2 linked regions of the Arabidopsis thaliana genome follow. The protein of the gene in region 2 interacts with the protein of the main gene of each other region in a pairwise test. Each region holds a gene or a part of one and is shown on either strand. Other genes may lie near its edges.

Region 1 (10,448 bases), about 17 Mb from region 2:
TCAACCTAATCAAGGTTAAGGCAACTGGCAACAAGTCAACCTCCTGGAAACCTTTGGGAACGAATGCTTAGCTAGCAGAAACAGAGTTTGTGTTAAAGAATGTCTAGGTAAAGTTCCATATATATCAAGTTTCCACGATGACAACTTTATTGACATATTATGCAATCTTACTTGGGTCTTGAAGTAATCAGTGTAAGCTCACGGTGTTAAAAAACTGCAGCTCTCAATACCTCTCCGATCTTAGGGATGCTTCAATAGAAAGCAAAACTTACAGTCTTTTTCAATCCCTTAATTGTTTGAGAGTTATGATTAGGCTTTTTAATCTGTTGAAAGAGTGGCAATATTACATATTTTGTATCTCTATGTGACTGAGAAAACTAGTTCAGCTAAGACCTTATTGAACAACTTTTCAGATGAGAATGGCAGCAGTTATGTGTGTTTGAGTAACCCTCAAAGGCAATGTAACAAAAATCAAGATTATAGGTTTGGACAAAATACATCTAGACAAGAACAACAAGAGGAGTTGTGAGTGTATATATCAGACACAAGCAGAGAGAAAGATTTGTTCTTTTTAAGACCTAAGCAAGGAAACCAAGCCTCTCTCCATTCTTCTTAGCAAGCCTGATAAGCCCTTGTCTCTGTTTTGCATCTGCTCCAATCGATTTGCAAAACTCAGTGATCACCTGAAAGAACAAAAGAACCCAGTTCCACAAAACTTTGCTTCTTTGACTAGTTCTTAAGAGAATGATTATAAGACAAGCAAACCTGAGAGTGTAAGGCAATGGCTTTTCCTCTGAGCTGATTAAACCTCTTCTTGCCTACTAGGTTGCGTGTGACAACAACTAGAGGTGCAAATAAGCCTTTGCCTTCATTGACATTCTTCATCATTGGAACTGCTCTGATTGCTTTCCTTGAGACTCTGGCTTGTTGCGGTGGCGCAACTGTCTTGGAGAGCATGGTTTGGTAATCTTCTCCGGAGATGGAACTTCCCCATCCTCCATAGAAGGAAGTTCCTATCAAAGTTTGATTACATCCTATTGCAGAAATCGAAGCAGCAGCCATAATCAATCAGCTTCTCCCTCTCTCTCTCGGTCTTTCTGATCGATGTTAATGGTAGAGAGGAAGAGAAATTGTGTGTGTGTGGTTGGATTTTGAGTTTAACATTTTGGTGTGGACAAGGTTTGGGTGTTGTTTTTGTTTGGATGGAGAAACCAGAGCCACAAATATGATTCTGGCTTTTTCGTTTTTTTGACTTAACTTATTACGTTTCTCATGTTGCGGGTTTATGATCCTCTGTATCACGTTTTATTATATCAACATTTCTCCACCGTCGGATTAAATATTCTCCTATCTCATTTTTTATTTTTTATTTTCAGTTGTTTTTGGCCTGGGCATTCGGTTTATTCGGGTAATCGGTTCGGTTTGGTTTAATCGGTTTTTTCGGTTCTTTAAAATTTTGTCAAATTAAACCGAATAAAGATTTGGTTCGGGTCGGTTTGGTTATAGGATTCAAAATCAACTCTGAACTAAACCGATTTTTTTTTTAGTTCGGTTAGTTTATACCGAATAAGTCCAAAATCAAGATAATGGGTCAAAACAAAAATTATAGAATGGGCGAAGATAAACAAAATTTTATAATTACAAACCAATAATTGGGCCAAAACGAAAAACAAACTTAAACCCAAAATAACTAAAAATCCAAACCTATTAAAAATTAGGGTTGATGGTATCTTGGTGCCGCTACCCTCTTCATAATCAGCAGATCTACGTCTGTGACGGTGACGGTGATAGCGAGGGATGACGATATCTCCGTAACGAAATATGCCCCGACGTGCTACCATAGTGAAAACCACATGCAGATAGAGAGAATTGACTAAATAGCCATGGATGAGGATCAAAAGGAAACGGAGAAGAAGCTAAAAAGATTAGATCTAATGTTTTTATCTTTATATTTATAGTATCTATTAACCGAGAAAACTGATCGGTTATGTCTGCCGAACCGAGAACCGAACTTCAATTATAATTTCGCCGATCGGTTTAGCCTTCCCTTCATAGTCGGTTATCAGAACCAAAAAAACGGTTTGTTCAGTTCGGTCATTGGGTTAATCCGAAATCCCAGGCCTAGTTTTTGCTGGATTGTACAGTAATAATCTGTAACAGATGATAATCTATTCTAGAGTGTGCACAAATTTACCTAAATCAAGTTGCTTTTGAAATCTAAATATTTATAGCTAAAGTTATCTCTGTTTTGTGTTCCTTAGAAGCAGAGATTGCAAGAGCTTAGAGATTTGACGGTCGAGCTAACTTTGAGAAGATAGAAATCGTAACGGTTCAACGACTAGTGAAATAGGCCGGGCCAATATTCAAGGAGGACACCAAGTGACCTCAACTATATATAGCGACTAAGTTTGAAATTAAGTGTAGCATAAAGCCAAATTAACACCATGAACGGAAGACCTTATCATGTTAATAACATAGCATGCAAGTTTCAAAAGCTTCGTCCAATGTCATGAAAACTAGAGACAAGCAGAGAAATAGACAGACTGTACATTGATAATCTGATGCATCCACATATTCCAAGCGCATTAGAAGAAGATCCCGAACGTGTTCTCACCACTGTAACTCATGTATAGAAACCCGTCTTCGTCTTTGTGCTCTTCATAAATTGCAGACATTATTGCCGCTGCAATAAAAGGATAACACTACTACTATTAGCTCAACTGAGAAAAAGATATGATTCCTTGAACTGGAAAAGTATATGATTAAGGAACGTGTTTGAAACTAACCAGTTGGTGGTAGAATGTTCTTGACAAAAATGAAGATGGCTTTCTCGGGACTGAGCTTGATCCGCTTCCGTACAACATAAACAAACTGGCCAACAGTCAAATCAGCTGGGACCAAGTACCTAAAGTTTTGAATAGTAAGTCAGCCAATTCATTATCCCTAAGCAACAAACCATGAAAACCAGAAATTCCTCCAGATCTTTCAATAAAAAAAAATTATTTCTATCCAATTAACCAATTCATTACTAAATGTGAGGGAGTGTAGGGTTCTCAGAAAAGGGCTTGAAGCCACTTTCAGTGAGAAGAAAGAGATTATATCCAACTCCTCAAGAGAAGTAAGGACTTACTTTTTCCTATCAATATCCGGGACATCACTCTTCTCGGCTCTTTCGACAATGACCTGCAACAATTTCAGAGAGAATAAGGCAAAAGCTATGCAATTTTCTTAAATGAAAATAGCCAAAATTCATACTGGTATTCTGTCTGGATACTTCTCCCTGATACGTGCTGCTTCAGCTTGTCTCTTTTCTGTAACATTCAAGAGCAAAAAAAACACAGATCCATCAATTTTCAACACATCAACATCCTCTAACCCACGTAAAACAACACAGACTCAGCGATAATATCTTAGGATTCCACTTGAACAGAGACTATAATGTACTTTGCTTCCTCAGCAAAAGTAGAACAAAATCAAAACATGTTTCAATCAAAGATTATGTACACTACTACTCCAGGCTCCAGGGACTAAAATAGTGATTCTAAGCCTCGTGAACAACACATACTCAGTGATAATATCTTAGGATTCCACTTGAACAGAGACTATAATGTATTTTGCTTCCTCAGCAAAAGCAGCACCAAATCAGAACATGTTTCAATCAAAGATTATGTACAGGGACTGAAATAGCGATTCTACGCCCCGTGAACAACAGAGACTCGACCACGGAACACAAGAGAGACAAGTGAAACTTAGTAACTTCAACATCAATATTCATCTCCACTTGAATAAAGATCATAATGTATTTGCATCAATAAACACAAAACTTGTTTCAATCAAAGATTATGCATACTACTTCACGAAACAATACAGAATCGGCGATAAAATCATTCAACATATAATTTTGCGGATTCTTATAACTGTTAACGCAATCAAAATTGAAATCGTTGGAAATCAGAATCAAGGATCAATTCATGCAAACTCAGAAGCAATTGAAATAGACGTAACCAGATTTTGAGAATTTTTAAACCTAGTCGCTAAAAAAATCCCTACGATGAGAGAGAGATACACAAAGATCAACAAGATTGATCGATTAGGTTTAAATCGAAAACGAACCAAGAGGATGTTCATGCTTGAAGGAGCTAATCGCCATGATTTTTCGCTGCGAGAGAGAAACAGAGAAGAGAGAAGCAAGGGTTTGTGTTCAACGTCGAAATTGGGTAACTCCAAAGAATGGAGATAGTTATTTGGAATGTTTATAAAAAGGGTACGCTTGGCAACAGATCTTTATATATTTAATTACTTAAAACTTAAGAGTTAAGAGTTAAGAAGTATTGAAATATTGGATGTATTAGGCCTGAATGGATATTTTCGATTCAGTTTTTGAGTTTAGATTTTAGTCTATAGATTTTAGATTTTTGTTATTATATTTTTGTTTTAAAAACCCCTAAAAAATTGGTTTTTGGTTTTTGAAAAAATAACGTTGATTGAGTAAAAACTAGATTTTCTAAACTTTAGAAAAACTAAAAAACTTAAATATGAATGGAAAACTACAATAAAATAGTTTTACTAAATTGTAGGGAAACCAAAATTTTAAAATCTTGATTGGTATTAAAATAAGTTTTTAAAAAACAAAAATCAAAAACTCTTACAAAATCTAAAAAACATTCAAGGTCTTAGTTTTTTTTTTTGGGTTTTGTGTAAAAAAATCTATCTATTTAACACTCTCTGTTTTTTGAAAAAAATAAGTTTTTAAAAGATTAATTTTTAGATTTTTTATGAAATATTTATTAGTTATTATTAATTAATTATAAACTTTGATAAAAATAATTGAATATTATTGATTTAAAGTTATAAAAAATTGTAAAATACAAAAAATAATACATTTAACAATTTTAATATGTTTAACTTAATATGTGTGTTTTTCCTAACCAATCAAATAAAAAAGAACAGATGAAGTCATTTTTTATAAGATAAACTATTATGTCAAATAAATGTAGGTTTGATATAGACGATAACTCTATTAAAAACATAAAGATTTAGTGTAAAAAATTTCTATGTAAACTTTTTTTGTAAAAAAAAATCTTCATATCAAATAAATGAATGTCAACACTACAATCTTAAAAATCACTCATAATATTATCTTTTTGTGTAGTGATGACATGACAACCAATAACTACATTAGAAAACATACAATAAAACAAGAGTATTTATAATAAATGACTATAGATTTGAAAAGAATGTACAAACTAACCTTGAATCACAGTATCTTGTCGGAAACATGTTGGAAAACACGTGTAATTACGTAAATGTCCTTTGTAACATGTTATTTTTCCGAAATACATGCGATAACATAATATCCTCTTTTTATCTTGTTATTTTCTCTTATTACATAGTATTTATTAAAAAGCACCTGGTATTTTTTGGAAAAAACATTCTATTCAGTTTAATATCTCTTTTTATCATGATATTTTGTAGTAATACACGTTTTTTATTAAGATCACACGTGATTTCTTTAAAAATATATTCCTATTTTTTAGTAATACATGGTTTTTATTAAAATCACATATAATTTTTTTTTTTTAAGATTCTGTTCACGTAAAAGAATTTCATAAGAATATTTTTTCTTAAAAATTCATAACGTTTTTTGAAATAGCATGTTTTTAAACTAAATATAACATGTGAAATTTTAATGTTACATGCTATTTTGAAAAATTACACGGATGTATTTCGTTTACTGTTCATCTTACAACAAATGAAGGGTAGATTTGTTATTTCCTTTCTTCCGACAACGTGGGATCCATGGTTATTTTGTAACAAAAAACTTTCTCTCTGCTAGTTTCTTAATTTGTATGTTTTATTTGGTTATCTACTAATATTACCCATAAAACAATATACACCAAAATTATTGAATTTTTATTTATCTGAAAATTTGGAGATTCATATTTATTTTTCATTGGGATCTTCAAAACTGTAAATGAATCACTTAAAATCAAACCAAGATTTTTGATCATGTGGAACACAATTCAACAAACACATACATCGAAATGGATGAAGATCGAAATGGAAAAGAAAAATGAATCTCCAAACTTCATATGAATAAAGAAGAAGATATAATATGAAAGAACTCTAATTATTTCCCTCAATTCTATTTCTAATAACGAAACTCACACAATCATGTGGTTTTCAACAAAAGCAAAACAAAGGTCTATTTTGATATCCATTATGCTTTTAACGGAATTATCGATTGTCATGTCATCGCTATACAAAATGACTATATCGCGGGTGACTTTGAGATTGTAATATTGTATTTATTTGACATTGAGGTTTGTCTTGCAAAAATAAAAAAATATATGGAGGGTTTGTTTAACAAAACTCTTATGTCTTCCAACGGAGTTATCGACTGTTACGTCATCGATATACGGAAGGACTATATTGTAGGTGACTTTTGAGACTGTGATATTGACCTGTATTTTTTTGAGATGGATGTTTGTCTAGCAAAAAAAATCATTTGGAGAGTCCTTTTGCATAAAACCTTTTTTTTTTCTTTCTCATAAATGTTGCACTTTATTTAAAACTTTTGTTGCAAAAGTGGAATCTTTCACTTACATGACTCGACAAACACATCAAATTTTACAATATTAGATTATCTAAACAAGCATCCATGTTGCATAACCAAAGAACCAACAAGTTTAACTTATAAGAAGAAGCCCAACTTAAAGAAAGTCCAATCTAGGAAACTAAACCCTTTGTAGAAGTAAGATTTAAAGATTCCAACGCAAAGCCACATGTGAGACTATGAAGCAAGGTTAAGACGCATGGACATGTGAAGCATATATCGTTGTTGGTCATTGTCGATTTGGTAAGAATCCTTAGGAAACTCCAAAATCATCAGAAATCGCCAGATCTTCAAGCAAAGAAGTCTTAACGGTTTTTAATTAGAGAATCTCACCAATCTTCATTATCAAATCTGCAAAGAAAAGAACTTCTCAAAGTAATTTCCTCCCGAACTCTAAGGAAATCCGCGTGGAGATTAAACCGATGGAGCTTTCAGCAACAACTTAGGCGCATAACTGTCTTGAAAATTAAAACGAAGAAAACTGGTAGATACAACAATGCAATCAACAAACAACCTTGCCAAAAAACCATAGGGGCCGAAAACAAGAAATCCCGACGGTAAAACAGAACAAGTCAGTAGAAGTAGATCTGAGAAAACTCTCCTGATCTAACAATCTCACATATTGGAACTCTTCATAATCGAGACAATTAAACAAACGCATAAACAAAACTGGAACTACCTGATACACTGGACGGCGAGTTAAAAAAGCAAAGCTAGCCAACGCCGCCTATAGGAGGCGGTGATGCCAGAAAGAGGGCCCGCATCACAACTGTAGAAGGCGGAGATACTGGACAAAAAAAAACCAATTCAATTGGGATAGCAAAAGCCAGGAAAACTTGTCCGCAAAAGAAACACTTCTTTCATTTAGATGTATTAGTTTAAAACACACATTTTAAAAAAAAATATGAGTTCTAGAAAATTTATCATCATATATAATGCAACGGTGGCAATATTATTTTATGAGAGTGACACAATGGGGAATATATACTTTATAAAAGTGGTTTGGCTTGATTCGATTTAATTTGGTTTGACTTGATTCTATTTATTTTTTTATCAGTTATTTATGAAAAGAGAAAAACAAACCATAAATTGAAGCAAGAAAAATAGAATTTTAGTTGGGATACATCGAAATATTTTTCTCACTAAATTTGAAGAATATAATCATTCAAGAGGTAGGCTAAAAAACAGTATGAAATATATACATGGGTTTTCGATTTTTTTTGTTTCTTAGAGAAATTAAATTATAATATCTAATTGTTTGAAGAGATTTAAACACAATATTTAAATTAAACAAAAACAATATGTATTTAAATATTGATTAGAAATTTTCATGTTGGAGGTTCGATAATTGGATATTATATTAGTTCAATCATTAAAGTTTTGGAAACATTTTTACATATTTAAGTAAAAAAGAGTGAACAAATTAATTGTTAATATAAAAAATAAAATTAATATTTCTTAAGAATAAAGAGCGTTAGGTGAAGTTAATGGTGCATTGCAAATTAAGACCAACCATGGTATTAAAAAAAATAAAAAAATTAAGACCAACCAATCACGACCACAACATAAGCCTTTAGTGTAAGTTAATTTTATATGAACCCTAAGATCTTTAAACATCTAGGTTAATCACATAATAGAATCATTAGGAGGTTTATCGGATTACCTCTCTTTATTGTCGTGGAGATGTCTTCATGAATAGGTTTCCTGAAGTCTTGATCTTTAGTTTAGGATTAAGTTTCTCTCACCTTGCCTATAAACTTAGCTTTAACGTGTTGCGTTTTATGATATCTTTATGATGGTCTAAAGCTATATATTTATAGGTGGAGAGAGGACCTATTCCTCATTAGGGTTTCCTTAAGATTAGATCTCATCCGTCCATCAAGGTAGAGATTGATTAGGAAAAACTCCTTTATTACTAATTTAATTGGTTACCAAATATGTTAAATAATAACATTATTCCAATAGAAAACAGATAATTACAAGACCATATAATAGGGGAGAAATATTAAATAATATTTCTTACATTTAGCCCTACTAACTCCTCTATAGCTCAATCCAGATGCAAAGAAGAAGCGAGTATACAAAGTAATGGAATCTTTAAACATATGCAATAACTAGCAGTATGGCCCGTGCTATGCACGGACATAGTATTTATTCTATTTTTATTAAATAAAATAAAATTTAGCATTAATCAGTTTTTATGGTAAAGTTTAATTGGTTGATAAAATAAAATATTTCAATAATGAGGAGATTTTTTGAAACAGTAACTGAAATATTAATGTAAGACCATAAGAGAGTGTATATTTCTAAAAAGTTTTTTAAGGAAAAAATAAAATAAATTAAACTACTAATTTCCTAATCTGATCTAATTAATTGGTTGGGATAAGAATAATATACGTGTAAATAAATTGTAAGTGAATTCATTCTCATCGACCCCCATCTCTTTCTCCTCTTTCTTCTCTTCAATTACCCAGGAAAATTGAGCTGTTTACTGCATATCAAAGCTTCAATACCTCCTGCTCAGTTCTCGCTTGGCAACAGAACTATAAATCTCGGCTTCTGAAAGGCAATTTGACTCATTCGAAAGCTGCCCCTGAAGCAGCCACCGATCCATTGAATCATGGAGGTGGATTCATACCGGAAACGCAACAAAGAGGTAATTCATTGAGTCTTAACGATGTTGCAATTATGATTTGGGTTTATCTCTGAATAGTGGTAAATCTCTGAATAGACACTCCTGCATCTATAAATGTGGAGAAAGCTGAAACTGCAACTAAGAAGAGAACCAAAATTCCTACCATATACTATGCTTCGTAAGCTTTAACATGAGCATTTTTGGAAATGTTGTGAATATAAATTAATGGGTTTCTTCTTATTGATTGATTGTTTGTTTTTGTTCATTATAAGACGAACTCATTCTCAGATTACTCAAGTGATTCGTGAGTATAGGAAAACTGGTTACAGAGTCCCCATGGCTGTATTGGTATGTTTAATTGACTTTGCTCTCTTGTGTGGATTTGCATATATTATGGTTAATCAAGATCAAATATACACGTCTTCCACGAGTGTTCAAATAGTATCTGGTTAACTTAATGCTTGAGACTTTAGAGATAATTTACTTATAGTCTCTTTTATATTCTCTTTTTGTAGGTAGGAGGATTAGGTGTTCATGAGGACAAAAGTCAACAACCATATCTTCCAATTAATTCATGATGAGCATTACGGTTGATCCTACCAAAGTGACATGATTCTTTATATGATTGTTTTAGTTTTTCTTTCTAAGATTAACAGAGTTGCATGATGATGACAGGTACATAAAGAGTCATTAGAAACATATGAAAGAAGATACCAGCATACATGAACATCATCTGAAACAGAAAGTAAGTGATAGAGGAATTCTATTTTCCTTAATTACTCTTTACAAACTTAAAAATAGCACATAAGCCATCTCAACATCAATATAACGATGATGGTGGATAAAGAAAATACAAAGATTCAGCATGATTTGTTGGTATCATCCGCTGCGTCCGCTGCAAAGTTAATAAAAAGAAATGTTCAAAAAAGAGAGCAAATACTATAATTAACTGTCAATGCGAAATAAGATTTAGGAAGCGTTAACTGGTTTTATCTATTAAATGCAAAAAAAAATCATAACTGGACCCTAACTATTGAGATCAAATTTTTTATGCGTGCAGAATAAAAGACAGGTTAAGTGAATATATCAAATCAGCTGATGCACCATACTATTAAACGACACATATAATAACGGCAAAGGTATGTTGCTCATACCTTCATCTCTATATCCCAACAGTTGAAAATAAACAAAGCATAA
Region 2 (10,448 bases):
TTTAAAATCGTTAATCATAATAAAGTCATTTGTCGGCAGATAATTTTCACGTCAGCTTCATAATTCCTTAATTTTAATTCGTATAATTTGATGAGATCACAAGAATTTCTTCAATGTAGTAGAGTATATCAGTTGCATGAATACAAAATGATTTAATGTTAATCACATACATACCATTGATTAGAAAAAAAAATGGTTAAGAAGACCAAATAGAAAAAGAGATGGTTCAAATAACAGTCTCTCACGCGCCTCTTTTCTCAAGTTTACAAAGCGCAAAATCCTTCAGCCATTTTAAGTTCACGTGCCTCACGTGGTTTAGGTGCGCGTGGCTATGTCACGTGTTGCTTCTGCTTGTACTACTATTACATTACCTCTTGAGCAGTTGGGTGATATTTATTTATTTTCACCTCTATAGTAAATAGTGAAGCTTTAAAATGTAAAAATACCATCCCTTATAGAATAACACTGTTTGAACTTTAGTGACAATGTATTCTTTGAATAGTAAGAACAAATAATAACAGTTTAGTTGGTGAATGATTCTATTATTTGGTGACGTGGTCAGTCAAATTTCCTCTAATAACAAAAGAGTATTGACTTTTATGAATGGTTGTCTATCTAGTCAACAGTAAAAAACCACCGTTGGATCATTAATAATCACAAATGATTTGAGATATATTTAATGCATTGTCTTTTTTTTCTTCACTCTCCCACTACCTAAAAAGAAACTGCCTAAGACTAAGCTGAAGAAGAAGAAAGAAAGAAACAGAGAAGACATAAAAATGAGAGGAGACAAGGAAGAAGAGAAGGCGAAGCTTGCACTTGTGTTAGCTGCAAAGTCAAGATCGTTGTTGTACACTTCATCGCCTGCGAGTCCACGTGTGTTTGCTTCTCCGATTCACACTCTTGCCTCTGTTCCGTTTTGTTGGGAAGACCAACCAGGCAAGCCCAAGCACCCTCTTCGTCCTCTTTCTTACCCCAAGTGTCTTGATTTGCCACCTCGTTTGCTCCTTCCTGGTGAGTTCACGCAAATGCCCTTGCCCGAGAGGAAACATGGGCTCTTGAGGTTCTTGAGGAGGAAAGGGAGAGGGGATGTTGTTGTGAGGGGTAATTATGTCTTTCTGTCGGAGAATCAGAGAGCAGGAGATAATATCAACGAGAACAACATGAAGATCATGAAGTTTAACAGATCAGGGAGTTACCATGGTGGTGGTTCTGTTAAAGGATCTCACTTTTGGGTAAAGTATTTGTGTTTCTCCGCTCCTTCTTCATAACTTCTTCATCTTCCCAAGTCTTGTCTTTCGCTGAAACGGGTTTGGTTGGGGAAATGCAGGGAAGTTTATGCAAGGGATTGAAGCTAGCAATGCCATGGAAGAACAAGAAGATGAGAAGTGGAAGTGTTTAAGCCTGTTTTCAATATGCATTATCTATCTATCTATTGAGGGATCAAGATGATGAAAAAGAGCTATTAAGAGTGTATGTAAGATTAGCAATTTTACTGTAATTTAATATCTGTGTGATATGCATATATAATGTTGTTAAGACTCATGAGCCATGGCAAGAAAAGTTTCAAGCTTTTTTCATTTGTTGTTAAGAAATGAATACATCTGATCAAGTGATGAACAAAAGTGAGTGTACACACATGCCTTTATATTAAGTTTCATAACAAACAAATGAGTCTGGCTTATTCATTGTGAATAGAGAGAGTAAAAGACAAAAAAGGAATAGGGATCATCTGAATGTAAGAAAACAGGGGAAGTCATTGCTTGTTTTAACTCTGTTTCTTCCCTGTGACACCAGCAATCACCTGCAAAAGCAAATTGGATCTGAGTTAATACTTGACGCCTTTGTTTGCCTGTAAAGAGTATATAGGAAAGCGTTGGATAACTAAGCAATGTGATAACTAACTAGTCTCTTTTATGCCCAATCCATTTTTGGCAGTAACAAAATGTGATCATGACACTCGTCCAATGATGAAAAGCATAGATTTTTAAGGCATGGATGAACCAAAGATGGAACTCTCAAATCACAAGAAGACGCAGGAGGAACAAAACATCGAGATGATGTATAGGCTACATCACATAGCAAAAAAAAGAAACGTCCAAACATTCGCCTACACGGATACTAAGAACAACTATCATGCAGAGTTCCCACATCAGAGACATTTCATTAGATAGGAAATAGATGACGATTTTAGCAGCAAAAGGAATTTCCACAGAGATAAATATATTCTAATACATACATCGGTAAGTGGAGGAGCTTTAACTTGTTTGGAAGCCTCGAGAGAGTCTAGAATAGGCCTCACAACCGCAGGCAAAAATAGTCCTACAAGATGAAGAGAATCCATCAGCAAATGTATATTAACACAATTGCCTTTTGCTAATGTTCAAGAAAGACATAATCTTTTGCTACTTATACATGGAGATAATGGAAGACATGGTTCCAAATTAAGCTTAATTTCAACTCCTTAAAATACACTCTCTTTGACAACCCAAAGAAATGACGATTCCGAATAGAGAGATTTGGATCAGGCATTTCTCTATATTCTCAAATTACAATCGAGCAAACTAGCTCTATAGATTCAAAGAGGAATTCCAGAAACTAGATAAATCCCAAAGCAAATCCTTTTCTAAGAAAGAGAATGCGATCGATCGGTGAGGAATTAAGATTGAGATTAGGGTTCATACCAACACCGCCGATTAAGCAAGAAGCAGCCACAACTGGTTCCTGCGCCACGAACATCCTCAATTTCTCCATGACCGGCATTTTCGCACTTTCCGATTTTAATCTCTTCCTCGGATTACGACCAAAGCTCCTCGTCAATGTCTGATTCGATTGATAGTTGCTCCTGAGTAAACCATTTTCTCACCTGAAACGAAATTAAAGATCATCTCCGGTCGGGTCGGGTTACTGGGCCCAAATGTTCGCAATTCGGCCCATTATAATCACCTTTGCCGTAATTAAAAAATATATATACTGTATATCTTTCTCTTTCTCATTCTGCTTCCAGCAGTAAAAAATTACTAAGTATTTTAAATTTTCAAGAAATCGAAGCTCTAGGAACATGAAAGAAAGATCATATACACTGTACAGTAGTTAATATATGCAGATATTACATGAACATGAAAGATACTTACTTACACATTAAAGAAGATAATTTCATATGATTTTTGAAGGAAAAGATCAAACTAGTAAACACAATATTAACAAAATTCTTACAACAATTTACATTCTCTCCTTAACGAAATCCAAAAGCTGATTCGAAGCCAATCTTTTAACTCATTTCAACATCATCAAGCTGTTCAATGAGAAAAAAGATGAAGTTTTGTCTCTTTTCTTCTCTTTAAACTAGAACGATAGCATCTGCATCCATCCAACAGTCCATCCAAGAAGCAAACCAGCACCAACAAGACTCATCCCCAATGCTAAACCAACCGCGTACTTTGCTCCATTCGGTTTACCCCTTTTGCTTCTTCTCTTTCTCCCCTCTTTTCTTGCTTTGCCATTGCTCCAACAAGGGATGGAAACCCCTGGATCGTCGTTGTTCTTATTGTCAATCTCCTTGTTCTTGATTTGGAGGTAAAGTGCTTCTAGCTGAAGCAGTTGTAACCATTGCTTATACCCAAAAAGCTCTGCGGCTTGCTTCAACAATATCTTCACCAAGTGCTCTTTCTCTGCATAAGCTTCTTTAGCCATATTCTCCGCTTCCCTAGCCCGCGTTTGCGAACGCCTCAGTGCTTCTAGAAGCTCGGATTTGCTTAAATCAGACTCAGATGAAGCCTCGGGTCTGTTCTTGCAGCTGCTTCCTTTGCTTGTACCCTTGATGGTTTGGCCAGAGACAGAGTAGTCTCTCAATCCATCAGAATCAAAACCACGTGGACTACCATAATAAGATCGTTTCATCTTCTGCGGTGTTGGTAAATCACAATTCTCAACATAGTCTAGAGATCTTTGTGCAACCAAGGAAGCTAACTCGTCTTTATCCGTAGTTCGCCACCACGGTGCAGCTTTCTCACTCGAGAGAAGATTCCACGGCGAGCTAGGATCAAAAGAGAGCTCACTTAACTTTTTCTCAGAGGACTCATCATACCCAGTTGAACCATAACTCTCCCTTGTCTCCATCAACTCTATAAACTCTTGAAAGCTTTCGGAATTAAAAGACTTTCCTTGTTTCTCTCCAGCTCCCAATTCAGACTTCTTCTCAGATACACCTTGATTGTTAACCTCATCCTCCAATGGCTGCTTCTTATTCACCTGAAACTGATGATGAGGATGACTCCACAGTCTGGTGTTGTGGGGTAACAGATCAGGGAAATTCGGGTTTCGAGGAAGAGGCATGAAACCTGCACAAGATGATTGAGTCCGTGGTTCAACAGAAACTCGAGGAGAAGAACCAGAAACTTCCACTTGCTTAGTTGAAGAAGCAGTTGAGGATGAAGATGATTGGCAATAAGTTAACTTGGGAGCTCTTTTAGCGTCTTCTTGGACAAAGCAACGATTAACTGTTCTTTGCCACACTGCTCTTGCTTCAGCTGCTGCCATTATTTCACCATAACTCTAAAGATAAGACAAGAGACTGAGAATTCAATTCAAGATCAATGTGATTTAGAAATTAGGTAGATTTAGCAAAATCTTATTAACCGTTTTGAATCTATTTATAGGAAAAATAATATGAATCATTTATTTCAAAGGAAGAATCTTTCTGATTGCCGACAGATCCATCACCAAAAAAGCTTATTACAAAACTACTTTTTAGAGAATCTGATATGTTTTGCTTTCCAGGTAAATTGAAGAATTAGTTCCTAATTTTCTTAGAAGCAAACAAAAACCAAAGCCAGATTCTTTGTCAATTTATCAACTTACTAAACAAATCATCATTATTTGCAATTGAAATCAAATTTCATAAAACTTCAACTATAAAATTATCAAACCCAGAAGAACACAAAAAAAAAACATGAAACGCGATTAGACCTAAGAATCAAAACCGGACACAAAAACAACGGATGGTGATCCAAATCATAATTCATCTTAATGAAACCGCAATAATTTGTAAGAATTCGGAAAAAAAGAACTAACCAGAAGGAGAGAGTAACACCAGACGAAACCCAAAAAACGGAAAAATCTATGATTGTTTAGTCAGTCTCGTGAAGAAGATAAGAGTTGTTCTGATTTTTTTTTGTTTTCTGATTGTCAGAGAATTTTTGTTTGCTTTCGATTAAAATCTTTTGAATCATTTTGCAGTTTATTATCGTTTTCTTAGTCTCTGTGTCATTCAGCACGCAAGCTTCCGCAAAACGGCACCGTTTTCTGAGAGGACCCATAGTTATGTTAATGAGTATTTGAGTCCACAGATTTGCCCATAGATTTCACCTGACAGCCGTTCGATTAGATATTAATTACACGTGGCGACAAAAAAGAAGATCTAAAAAAGGCTTCCCTTTCCTTTTTTAACGGATAAGACCTTTTATCTTATCAGTTATCACTATACGATTACGCGCGATGGTAGATTACGTCATAAATGTTTGGTTAAAACATAAAAATCTTGTAGTAATTGCGTCGAATGATTTTGATTTTTAAATGATCGATTAAATTTTAAATTTCAAGTTAGGGTCTACTAATATTTTTTATGACATCGTTTTCATTTAAGTAATAAAGTGGCCAATGGTAAATAGACATGTTGAAAATATAAAATTAGGTTTTTTACATGTCAATTTGGTTTAATGTAGTTCTGAAAGTTAGGTAAAGAGAATGTAAATAGTGGCCTCGTCTAGGAAATTGAATGTTAGGTGAAGCCAAGTGTCTTCAAGTCATTATGGTTAATTGTCTCTCTCCATTATTCTCCAATTGATAGTGTTACATGAGATTTATTTATTACGTGGTTAATAATTATTTAAGCAATCTAAGATATTCTAATAAGATGCTTTATGTGAGCACTAATATATTCAGTCATAATTAACACCATAGTCTATATATATACTATATATACAACTAACTTCTTTAGAATAATTATTAATGAAATGGACCTTTGCCTTAACTTAATAGTTTTAGGAATAATTCTTGGCAAATGGGGTTTTAATCAAACATTTTGATGATTCATATCATTTCGTCTACAAGACTACAACACAAATTATGGAGCAGTTTAATAATCAACCATAAGATAATATTCCACTACGTAATACGATAGTGGCCAGGTTCCTAGCCGTCAATTTTTCATAATCTTATTAAACTATATCGAGCTAATACCAAACCAACACCAAAAAGAAAGAAAAAAAATTACAATAACGAACTAAATCTTGATAATGTTTATTTTCGGTTCTATTGCACTACACTTAACACCAATCTAATTGGAATCAGTCCGATTTAATCTGGTCTAAATCTGATGCAACAAAGTCAACGAAAACTATGTCAAAGATAAATAGATGATATTTCCGAGTATAGATTGAAGTCAAGTCAAAGATAAATTAAAATCTGGATTATGGTCAACTCAAGATTCTACTGCTTCATAATCTTTAATATATTTGTATATACACAAATATTAAACCATATAGAGAAAAAAACTACATCACAAAAAATCACGTATTCAATAAACACACGCAAGGTAGCAATAACTCGTTTTCTCGACTGCAAAACTTTCCCGGAAAATGTATCTTCTTTTTATTTAGCATCGCCATAGGAAGAATCTACGAGGCTGACGAACTTCACCGTGCCATCACCACCACACGTTATAAATCCATTCGGACAAACTTGTATGTCAGTCACCCCAGCCTACACCAAATTCGTAACACATACCCAAATTCGATTACATACACCGACATTACTTTGATTCTGGTTTACTAAGAAACCAAAGCCACTGTGAGAAAATACGATGAAAGGATTATGCTTTAGGTGATTTGGTTCACTAACCCGGATGATTCCACCGTAGCCTCTCGAGTTTGGCTGCAGAAAAGTGTGTCTTTCGTGTAGTTTAGGCCAATGATGAATCAACTTTGCAGCTTTCGCATCCCAAAGTTTTACTTCTCCGTCTTTGCTTCCCGTCAAGAAAAGACTTGTGCGTGGGATTGTCGCTATTTTTGTCACACTCCCTGAAATTTGCATCAATGTCAATCAAATTTCAGGATATTTTTCCGGTAAAATTGGAATATGAAGGTGAAAATAGGCTTTAGGGTGTGCACCTAAGTGAGCCTTTGGTATATACCAAAGCATCCCATTCTTGTTTTGATCTCCATCAGTCGAAGATCCACCGTCAGGGTTCCTTTGCTTCTTCATCTTTCCGGTTGCAATAAACCGGAAATCGTGCAAACCGACATCACCATTTTTGCCACCAGTCACAATCATAGGAGAAATTGAACCACTACCAATGTCATTATCAAATACCGAGATAGAGCGTGCACCACCTTCATAGAAGAAAAGGGACAAAACAAAAAAAAAACTTGTTAAGAGTTGTGATTATGGGAAATGATACTAACACTTCTACAAAAAAAATTATTGGAGGACCTTCATGGCAATTGATAGATGCCTGGGAGGTTGAAGGGGGAGCTAGAGTATCCCACACAACGACATTTGCACCACTTGAGCTATATCCTGAAGCTGCAACAATGGATCCACTCGAACTAATATATCCTACATCTCTGCAACCATAAATAACAGAAACAGAATAGCTGAAGCCAATAGAACAAGAAACAGAGAAATAATGGTAATTTTCATGACTGACAGCAATAATTTAAAACTTATGTGTTTTTAGCATATTAGTGAACAAGAACTTATAGACTCAAGGATCATGAAACGTACGATGCATGGCCATTGAAGCAAAGAGATGATTCAACAGGATGAATATTGCTCCTTCCTCCAACTTCTGATTGCCAAGTGCATACAGTTCCATCCAGTGCAGCGCTAGCAAATCTGTGTCCGAATGGACCGAATTGCACTGCTGATATCGACGCCAAAGCATAAGGAGGGGAAACATTTGCAGCAGGAAGAACACCATAAGTTGCAGTAGCTCTTTCGTTTCCAAACTGTAACATGCAAGGTTTGCATTATAAGATCCACAAGGATAGATAAGAAATGTCATATCATTTACTCCGAACTCCTAAAACAGATGGTGCAAGTGTTTAGGCACAAACCTCCCACAAGTATATGTGAGTGTTGCTTGAGCCAACCAAGAAGAGGGGCATTGTCGGGTGATTAGAGAATGCTCTCGTAATAACACTTTCAACTGTTGGGGGAGGATCAACAAACTCTTCAAATTCTTCTTGAGTTTCCCAACCTAGACCAGAGACTCCTAACCACCGGCGGATCTACGTGAATTTTATTTAATGTTATGAGAAAATATACATTTGGCTTATCAATTTTTTTTTTTTAGCTATGTGTGACCTGGGTAAAAAATGATCCTGGATCCGCTATCGCTCCTAACCCAGAGTAGCCAGGAACTCTGTCAGCTTTCCCAGGCTTGGAAAGAGAAACAACTCCAACAGTGGCCCCACCTAACCCAAGGTGTGCTCCTTTCTTATCCCCAAGACCAACACCGAGTGAAACACATGTTGGAACGGGAGTTGACTCAGAGTTAGCCCAACCATTATGTGGCCAGTCAGCATCTGACCAGATATAGTCTGACTGATTTTGGGAAGAATCACCATCTTCTAGGTTAAAGAAAATTATACCCTGCATGTCACGAATGCACATTTAGGGATGTGTCTATGTCTCCTGCCACATTACCACTAAGCATAATAAAACACTGCAACAACAAAATAACAACAGATTGACATAAACTTGGTCTTCATATGGGACATGCAATATCATCTGAAAATTTTATCTCGAGATACTGATGCAAGAATGCAGGATACAGATAAAAGGTTAATGGATGTTTTCCAGGATGCAGACTCATCTTTGCATATCTAAAGTTTTGGTGCGTAGCATATGGCAAGTTACAAAAACTTATGAATTTCACAGGAAATTAAAGATAGAACAAGTGGTAAAGGCAAATTACGACGATATACTGACCTTGCGGTTGCTAGCTAATGCAGCTTGCCGATGGTTAATGGCGTTGATACAAAGGGCCTGTTATAAAGATTAGAATACTCGATCTCAAAAGATAAGAAAGTTTCAACAATATCAGTGACTTGTTCGTCAATGTAAGAAAAATAGGTACCTCTATAAGCTCCCCGGTCCTCTTATGGATTTCTTTGGGGTTCTGGAACGCAGAGTTTTCATTGGCAGTTACCGCAGCTTTTGGTGAAGAATTTGAAGCGTGGTTTGCAAGTGAAGCCACCTCATTACTACTTCGACCATCTTGATTGCATGGCACATAGAGCTCATTCTTCCTGATTACTTCTCTGTACATATCGCTCCAATCTTCCAATGGTTTAGATTTTGACCATTCAAATATGTCAAAATTTTCTAACAAGAAAGCTTCGTGTAGTAAATGAGGATCAACACAAAGCTTCCAGAACCTCACAGAAACCACAGGGTCACCGTTTTTTTCCGTCTCTACACCTGCATCTGGGATATCCCGATTAAGAAAATTTGCTTGAGATCCCTGACATTCGAGCAGCCATAACAAGGTAGGAACCTGAAGTCTCTTCTCTAGTTTCTGTTTCAAGACTAATACTAGTTGTTTTACATGGTACGAAGAGAGTTGAGCTAGGGTGCTAATCAGTGTTTTTCCCAGAACAGACATTATCTTCTCCGTTACGCATACAATGTCATCACTGGAGTCCAATGATGTCTGGGCATCAAAATTTTCAGCGGAACCACTATTCGAAATACCATCATCTAGATTGATCGAAATAGATACCAGCTTAAGTTTCACAAAGTCTGAAACATGCTTCCAGAAACAAGCTTGTGTTACCAGACATCTTTCATCTTCTGGAATTGAGTATACTGGATAGCCAACTCCGTGATTCTCAACAACACTGCTGAACTTAGAATTAACTCCTACATCTGATGCATCTGGTACACTAACAGAAGCTTCCTGGTGGTATACTCTCTTCACACTTTCCAGGTCAACCTCATAAGGCATATGCCCATTAAAATATGATATCACAAGGGGCTGAACCATTCGAAAGAGACAATGCACGTCTCCCAGAACCCAAGCCATTGCGAGTCTCAAACAATATTCGACTAAATCAAGAACAACTGCAAGTTTTGTTTTCAGGTCTTCCACAGAGGAGCCCAAGCACAGCCTTATAGAAGTTCTTAAATTAGAGAACGATTCCAGAATTCCTTGAAAGTAAAACCGCAAAGCATTGGACCACTTTGGATCAGGTCCAGATGACACCTTGTTTTCCTCAAAGCATGGCACTGAGTGTAAGCAAGTGACACTGCACGCAGCAATGATACGTGATAACACCAATGATTTCTCATCAGTCGCTTTTAGAATCAATTTAGACAACGCTGAATACTGGAGGAGATCTTCATCTGTGTGAGACTTGTCGTCTGAGAGTCCTGAGGAACTA

Evidence for each region. The genes of interacting proteins can lie anywhere in the genome.
Region 1: the proteins of AT2G46550 (region 2) and ATG8D interact in a two-hybrid assay, tested with the Arabidopsis thaliana proteins (one large-scale study listed by BioGRID).

What each region holds. Positions count from the first base shown.
Region 1 is NC_003071.7:2,080,626-2,091,073, forward strand, and holds ATG8D (Ubiquitin-like superfamily protein), read right to left. Parts: upstream 4,258-10,448; 5' UTR 4,151-4,257; coding exon 4,114-4,150; intron 3,781-4,113; coding exon 3,674-3,780; intron 3,591-3,673; coding exon 3,566-3,590; intron 3,312-3,565; coding exon 3,256-3,311; intron 3,184-3,255; coding exon 3,131-3,183; intron 2,906-3,130; coding exon 2,787-2,905; intron 2,684-2,786; coding exon 2,586-2,683; 3' UTR 2,361-2,585; downstream 1-2,360. Other genes in the region: PGR5 (proton gradient regulation 5), read right to left, coding at 579-683, 766-1,062; AT2G05632 (uncharacterized protein), read right to left, coding at 7,119-7,277; AT2G05635 (DNA repair DEAD helicase RAD3/XP-D subfamily protein), read left to right, coding at 8,859-8,896, 9,091-9,272, 9,348-9,429, 9,524-9,599, 9,767-9,829. UniProt on the Arabidopsis thaliana protein: Ubiquitin-like modifier involved in autophagosomes formation. May mediate the delivery of the autophagosomes to the vacuole via the microtubule cytoskeleton.
Region 2 is NC_003071.7:19,108,919-19,119,366, forward strand, and holds AT2G46550 (uncharacterized protein), read right to left. Parts: upstream 5,289-10,448; 5' UTR 5,074-5,288; intron 4,555-5,073; 5' UTR 4,540-4,554; coding exon 3,346-4,539; 3' UTR 3,043-3,345; downstream 1-3,042. Other genes in the region: AT2G46535 (uncharacterized protein), read left to right, coding at 780-1,235, 1,331-1,402; AT2G46540 (fiber), read right to left, coding at 1,769-1,804, 2,240-2,322, 2,685-2,763; AT2G46560 (transducin family protein / WD-40 repeat family protein), read right to left, coding at 6,652-6,762, 6,901-7,079, 7,170-7,391, 7,492-7,625, 7,786-8,009, 8,118-8,291, 8,368-8,655, 8,995-9,051 and 1 more.